2 linked regions of the Arabidopsis thaliana genome follow. The protein of the gene in region 2 interacts with the protein of the main gene of each other region in a pairwise test. Each region holds a gene or a part of one and is shown on either strand. Other genes may lie near its edges.

Evidence for each region. Proteins that work in one complex are often made in the same cells at the same time.
Region 1: the proteins of AT5G54580 (region 2) and AT5G46190 interact in a two-hybrid assay, tested with the Arabidopsis thaliana proteins (one large-scale study listed by BioGRID).

Annotation. Positions count from the first base shown.
Region 1 is NC_003076.8:18,724,559-18,728,315, forward strand, and holds the start of AT5G46190 (RNA-binding KH domain-containing protein), read right to left. Parts: upstream 1,692-3,757; 5' UTR 1,511-1,691; exon of another isoform or gene 1,507-1,510; intron 1,445-1,506; exon of another isoform or gene 1,305-1,444; 5' UTR 1,277-1,304; coding exon 659-1,276; intron 575-658; coding exon 1-574. Other genes in the region: AT5G46200 (carboxyl-terminal proteinase-like protein (DUF239)), read right to left, coding at 3,492-3,757.
Region 2 is NC_003076.8:22,169,130-22,172,886, forward strand, and holds the start of AT5G54580 (RNA-binding (RRM/RBD/RNP motifs) family protein), read left to right. Parts: upstream 1-2,036; 5' UTR 2,037-2,202; coding exon 2,203-2,386; intron 2,387-3,028; coding exon 3,029-3,097; intron 3,098-3,199; coding exon 3,200-3,306; intron 3,307-3,416; coding exon 3,417-3,527; 3' UTR 3,528-3,757. Other genes in the region: BGLU41 (beta glucosidase 41), read right to left, coding at 1-89, 175-334, 416-491, 663-721, 795-864, 960-1,106. UniProt on the Arabidopsis thaliana protein: Involved in C-to-U editing of mitochondrial RNA. Functions as minor mitochondrial editing factor. Controls 6 percent of the mitochondrial editing sites.

The DNA of each region.
Region 1 (3,757 bases), 3.4 Mb from region 2:
TGTCCTCGTCTTCATCATTAATTTTCTCTTGAAGTAGAAGAACAGCTTCAACCGCCATAGACTTCAAATCATCAGGAGACTCTGTAGCAGTGACAGTGATAACACAGTCATCATCATGATTTGTCCTCGAGTCATTAACTTCGATATGAGACCCGCTTGCTTGTCTTATTCCCTTAATGGTTAATCCTCCTTTCCCGATAACACGACCAATTTTGGAAGAAGAGCAAATAACTTTTATAGCCAACTTTTCTGATCTGGAAGACCCACCAAAACCATGAACAACAGGAAGAGCAGAAGCAGAAAAAACCGGCACAGGATTTGCAGCATTTTCTCCATAACCCTGAGGTAGTGTACCGATAAACGATGAAACATTAGCCCCATGTTGGAAAATAGAATCCTGACTTGGGTATAAACCGGCTTGTGGATAGATAGACAGATCAGAGGGAATTATAATACTAGCGGGAACTTCTTGGACAGTTGTATCCAGAGGAATCTGTTCTCGAGGACTGACTTTGTACATGATTGCAGAAACAGCGAAAAGTGCCTTCTTCACGGATTCAGTCTCACCAGATATCTAAATAAATAAGAATAAGAAACATCGATTAAAATAAGCAAAGAAACATATGCTAACAAATTCTACTGGAATTCTGATACTAACCATAACAATGTTGTCAAAATCCATGGCACAAGTGTGAGAAGGATCAGAAACATCTTTAGAGACAACCTTAACGTTAGCTCTAGTTCTACCTCTAATGTTCTTAATAATCGAACCAGATTTACCAATGACAATAGAACACTGACTAGACGGAACTAAAAGACGACATTCTCTAAAGTCATCTCTATCAATCTTAGTGTTCTCAGCAGCAGTAGCTAAAGAAGCCACAATAGCATCATGGACTTTAAGAAGAGCAGCTTGAGCAGAACACAAAGGAACAGAGTAATCCAATTCACTATACTCAATGTCAACAATGTCTTTCTTCTCCGAAACCGAGCAAAAGATCGTTATGACTCTTTCGCTACAACCTGGAAAAGGATCAACAACTTTGATCCTAGCTCTAGTTTCTTGCCTAATCAAGTTAATAACTTTGCCACTTTTGCCTATAACACTTCCCATGACACCACTTGGGCATAAGATTCTGTAAACAACAACGAGATCGTCTTTGTTATCGATCTTTTTTTCTTCGGATTCGTAAGAAAGTCTTCTCCTTTGATTCCGGTTGTTGTCATTGTTGTTGTCTCTGAAACGATTGTGAGTCCTCTTCCCACGCTCAACCATTGTTGTCTGTTTTGCAAATTACACAACCCTAAAACAGAGAGACAAAAGAAGTACAATTGATCAAAAGCAGAAGCAATGTATTCTATCGATAGAGAAATCTGAGAGGAACCCTAAAAAAAAAAGAGAGAAATTTGAGAATTGGGTGGATAAGAAAAAACTGAAAGAAACGATTTTTATGATTCAATTTGAAAATTCGTTAATTGGATTATCAATTCAAGCGATGAACATACATACAAGGTGATAGAAAATTCTAAGAGAACTTCAATGAACAGCGAGAGGCCTCTCGGGAGAGAAGAAAGAAGAAACTTTTGTTCTAAATTGTGTTAGAGAGAGAAAGAGAAAGAGAAAGATTTGTGATTGTCTGATGCAGAGTAGAGAGAGAGAGAGAGATGACGGCGATGTGTTAAAAGAGATTTTTACTTTGATTGATCTCTTTCGGTTATATATAGTTAACAATAATATAATATGAAGAAAGTCCCTAACTTTTGTTTAGATTTGGTGTTTAGCCCATTTTCTCAGAAACAATATTGTTAAACCTAAAATCTACTTTTAAGTTTTAAGGCTTAAACGGTTAAACTTGTTTAAATATTTATTGATTAATTACGTTTAGATTTTGATTCTGCAAAAAAAAGTACTTCGTTTCACATGTTATTTCGTATAAATTAATACTTTATACTTATCTCGTATACTTTAAACTTGTCTTCGTGTACCGGTTTCATACTATAATAAGTAAAATAACTATGTAATAAAACTAATTTAATTTTTTTTCCACCAAAAAAAAATTAGTTTAAATTTTAATCGCGTAAACAACATATCACATAACAGTGATTGGGTTATGGGTATTTACAAATTTTTTTTATTTCGTTGAGACTAAAACGACGTCCTTTTAGTCACTTTTACTCCTAAAATTCTTAAAATCCATTTGTTCTCCTTAAATCTTCGATTGCTCTCAAAATCTTAATTTAAAAACGAAGCCGAAACAACGATTCTCGAAAAGATCAACGAATTCGTACGAATGATCATTAATAATAATCGACTCGAGATTGACTTCATTTGCAGCATGTGTTGAGAGTGTAGGGATTAGAAGTGGTGCTGGACTATCTTTAGACGTTCCTACACGTTGGAATTCAACTTATGATATGCTTGTCAGAACTTTAAAGTTTCGTAAGGCATTTGCTAGTTTGAAAGAGTGTGACAGAAACTATATATCATTTCCTTCTAAGTATGAGTGGGATCTTGGAGAGAGAATTTGTGACCTTTTGAAGTCGTTTAGTACCATCACTGCCTACTTCTCAAGTGTCAAATATCCTACAACTAATGTGTATTTTCTGCAAGTGGAAAATTGAGTGTCTTTTGAAGGACTACGCAAACTATGGTGATTTTGGAGTGGAATAGATAGTTAGTAAGATGTAGTTAAAGTTTGATAAGTATTGGGATCAATACAGTATCATTCTAGCTATGAGAGCTATTCTAGATCCAAGGTTGAAGATGCAGATTCTTAAATCAGCTTATAATAAGATGGATTCGAGTAGTTCAGAAGAAAAGGTCAATGTTGTTGTGAAGAGTTTGAAGGATCTTTGCAAAGAACACATGGAAAAGGCTTAAACTTCTTCCACCTTCTCAACAACACACACTCCACATGAACTTCTTTCAGTTTAGGCATTGTTCTAAAATACTTTGTACGTTAGTCGTACGGTAGAGTACCATATAGCGTATAGACAGTGACTAACTGATATTATTAGTTCTTTAAAATTTTCACTCTACATGGAGTATAATAATTGATGTAAATATTTTTTAACATTAACATGAATTAGTAATAAATCGATGCAAATTATATGCATCTCTACTTTAAAGTCACTTATTTAAGTGATGCAATTTTTTTTTACATCATCTATAACTAATGCAAAATATATAAGAAATGATGTAAGACAATCTTTTTTTTTTGTATTGGGTGGATATTTTTTTTTGTTTAAAAAATTATATATATAGATAAAAACTTTTTGTCAAGATATGCATATGTAATTTCAAAATTATAATAAATTAAAACATAAGTATAATAATCATGATGACTACTATACATGAATATAATAATCATTTGTCAAGTTAAAAAATTTCACTTTTCTAAAATATTTTTAATTTTTTAAGAAAACTACTAAGCATGAAAATAATTAAAAACAGAGACCATATTTATGCATGTAGAAGAATAATACTCTTATCAACATTGTCCACCAGGTCCTCCAAACGTAAGAGTCTCTCTGGAATCATAATCTACATACTTGAGAAACATTACACCATAACACTTACGACTATCCACATACTGTTCTACCTCGTTGGCATTAATATCCACAACTGAATAATCCGAAAGAACATATTTAAGCTGTTTCATGAAACAAGACCGACTCAAATCTTTTGTCGGAAACTCTCCAGTTCCCATTGGTGGGCTTGTCGTCGGTTGAGACGATGCAGTGTTTCCTGCAAATC
Region 2 (3,757 bases):
CCCCATGAGGCTCATTGAAAGTGATCCAGTACTTCACTCTATCTCCAAATGCTTTGAAACAGGTGAATGCATAATGCTCAAAATCATCCCTGCACCATTTATTTAGCTTTTTAATTTCGTAATAATCTCACCATATCAGGATTTCACATTTTTATCAAAATATCATATACTCACACCACTTCTCTGCTTAGCCATCCTTCATATCTGTCTTCTAAGGCTTGTGGGAGATCCCAGTGATACAATGTCACATAAGGTTTGATTCCTTTGGCTAAAAGAGCATCTATTAGGCTGTTATAGTACTTAACTCCATCTGGGTTTACTTCCCCTGTTCCATCTGTTAAAACCAGAGTTTAAATAGACCCGTCGAAACGCACAACATTACTCATCATATCACAGCTGAATGAAATAGACTTACTAGGGAATATTCTTGACCAAGATATAGAGAATCTGTAAGCATCCATTCTCAGATCTTTCATCAGGTCTATGTCATTCTGTGATAGCAACAAAACAAAAGAAAGGCTCTTGCTTCTTAGATTCTCTCATTTGTGTCCTGTTGCGTCTTATCTTAGATTTGTTTGGATGAGGTTGCTCTGTCAAGAAGCAACCCTACTTTTATCTTCAAGCTTAAGTCAACAAATTTGTAATTGTTAGGTAAAACTTACGTGAAACCTATGATATTGATCAACCGTAGTATCCGCATTGCTGAAATCCAGTATCTTTCCTGTTGATCAAGAACGATACCATTGAGTTAACTAAAACCTTCGTGATGTTTTCTGGGTTTGTTTCTTTGATACCTGGTTTCTCCTTCGTGAAAGTGTCCCATATGCTTTCTCCTTTGTTTCCTTCTTTCACAGCTCCTTCGAACTGATTTCTTGCAAGAAAATGTTGCGATTGTCAAAATCTTCGTTCTTTCTTTGTTGGATCAGTTTGGAGAAGATGAAGAAGAAGAAGAATGTCACCTGGTAAGCTGAAGAAGCTGTTCCGAATACAAATCCATCTGGAAAATTTGCTCTGCTGATAGATTCTGAAGAAACGTGATCAAGAGGTACGAAGAAGACGACGAAGAACGGAAACAGAACTAAGACGAGTCTCATTAAAGATTCCATTTTTTGGGTCGCATGAATAGAGAAAGTGAGAGAAAGAGAGAGATAAGGGGATGGAATTTTATGGTGAATGAAAGATTTGGAGGCAAGAAAATGGAGTTTTGGTGTGTGTGTGTTTTTAATTTGTAAAGTTGAAGAAGAAAGAGGAAGAGTGCAAAACAAAAGCTCACGTCTTTTGAAGGCTTTTCTTTGGTTTTGACATTTGTTCTCTCTACTTTTACTGCACACGTTTCTTATACTTGTGCCAAAAACTTTTTAAAGTTGTTTACTCTCTTAAGATAAAAAAAAAGTTTGTTACTGAGTGACACTGATTCACCTAACTACCTATGTCTTTTTTTTAAAGATATTCTTCTTGATAGTCTTGTTATTTGTAACCCCAAATTACATGATAATCAAATTAAATTCATAGATTGAATAATATATTATGTACTTTATTTTGAGATGAGTTAATAAATTAATATATAAATATAATGTGAACTTTTATGTTAGCATCCATATCCATTTATATATGTTATTTTTTGTGTGTTTACACTTATCACAAAAAAAAAGGGGTGTATTGAACTTAGGTAAGATTTTGTGGATTTTAGATTTTGAGAGATTTTAAAAGACGTCTGGTCATTTGGTGGATTTTTAGAAGAATCAAAACAAATTTTAAGTGGCCATTAAAAAAATAAAATGGTCATTTAGTGAAATTTTATGTCAAATTTCATAAAATATTGAAGTATTTTGTGTGATAGTCCAAAAAACAATTTGGTAACCATTTAAAGACTCATAAACGTTTCTACGTGCCAATGAAAAAAAATCGAAAATTGGAGCTGCACATTGGCGAATTCCATTAATTACGAATATCAGAATTGTAAAGTTTCTATCACTAGTCCATCCATTCCGAAATTTTGAAGTAATACAAGGGTATATCCGTCATTTTATGTCAGTATTTTTTTTTTTTAGGTCATCTTCTCACTCTAGTAAATTACTCGTTTTCGTATCAATCGATTTTGTTTGTTCTCTGCTTTTTTGGTTTAGGGTTTTAGCTTTTCAAAGTTAAAACCTTTTTTTCCCGAAGAAGAATCAATACGACTCAAATCAATCAATTGAATCTATGGCGATGGCTATGAGACTTCCAGCGATATCTAGAGCTGTGACGGAAGTAGCTTCAGCTCCGGTTGGTTTGAGACGACTGTTCTGTTCAAATGCTTCAAGGTTCTCTTTTTTGTCTCCACAAGCTGAATCCCAAACACCGGCTCGTCCTCAGGCTGAACCTAGCACCAATCTCTTCGTCTCCGGTAACAAACCCTTTTCATCTCTCAATTCATTTCGAGGGTTTATCGTTGTTAGAGTCTATGTCTGTTTCTATTTGATGCTTTTTAAAGATCCTTCCTTTTTGAATTCAGATTTAGATTATCAGGTTCGTCTAACATCAACTAAGATTGTACTCTATGTGTTTAAGAATTTGATAAGTTCAATTATTCATTTTTGGTTCTGATTTCCAGAAAAATGTCTACTTTCGATTGCTTAACTCTAGGAATGAACTGTAAGAGTTAAAGAGAGTTTCTTTGCACTCAATTACTTGAGAATTCGGTTTTTTCGGTTAAAATTTGGATGCTATGTGTACCGGATCAGTGTCTTGTTTCAAGGGTCTATGTGGGCTGTTTCTAACATCTTCAAGGCTTCTGTTTTTGTAAAGTGCTTCCTAGTATCAATTAGTTTTTGAAATACTGCTCAACATTGGGCTTTGATGCAAGCAATTTTGATTAGGCTATTACTTATTGTTCCTTCATAGCCTCTGTTTCTCACTTTTATCACATGGCCATTGAACATCTCATACATACATCTAAGGAATTTTATGTGTTCGATGCTGTGTCTCAGTTTCGTGAAAGTGTCTTCTTCTCATGTTATCTTTATCTTTGTGTCACTGAATATTTCAGGGCTTAGTAAGCGCACCACTTCTGAAGGACTAAGGACTGCTTTTGCTCAGTTTGGAGAAGTTGCTGATGGTGCGTATCTTATAACGACACTATAAAGTTTATGCGCAGTAAACTAGTCATCGTGAAGAAAACTAACTGTTATGATTCCTTTCTCTTCTATTGGTTTTGTAGCTAAGGTTGTCACAGACAGAGTATCAGGATATTCCAAAGGGTTTGGATTTGTTAGATATGCCACTTTAGAAGATTCTGCCAAAGGCATAGCTGGAATGGACGGGAAGGTACTATTCATTCTAATATCCATTTCTCGATTACCATATCATAATCTATTAAGAGAGATTTACACTGACAATTACCAAACGGCTAATCTCCTCTCTGTGCTTCTCTGCAGTTTCTTGACGGTTGGGTCATATTCGCAGAGTATGCAAGACCGAGAGAGCAATCACAGTCATATCAACCTCAGAACAACATGTCTCGTCCTCCATACTATGGTAACCGCTAGAGAAACAGTTTTCTTCGGTTCTTATGAATCTTTTATATTCATATTTATGCTTCATTCTATCCTCTTCTATGATCGAACTGTGTTGTGCTTCGTCTCGTGTTATTACCTTTAGAAGATTAAAAACTTCAAATTATATTTTGAAGGAATAATCAGAAACTGTCATTTACAAAACCAAAGTATTAAGTGTAATAGTTTTTTAAGAGGAAGAGGATTTTGCTTACATGGTTAAC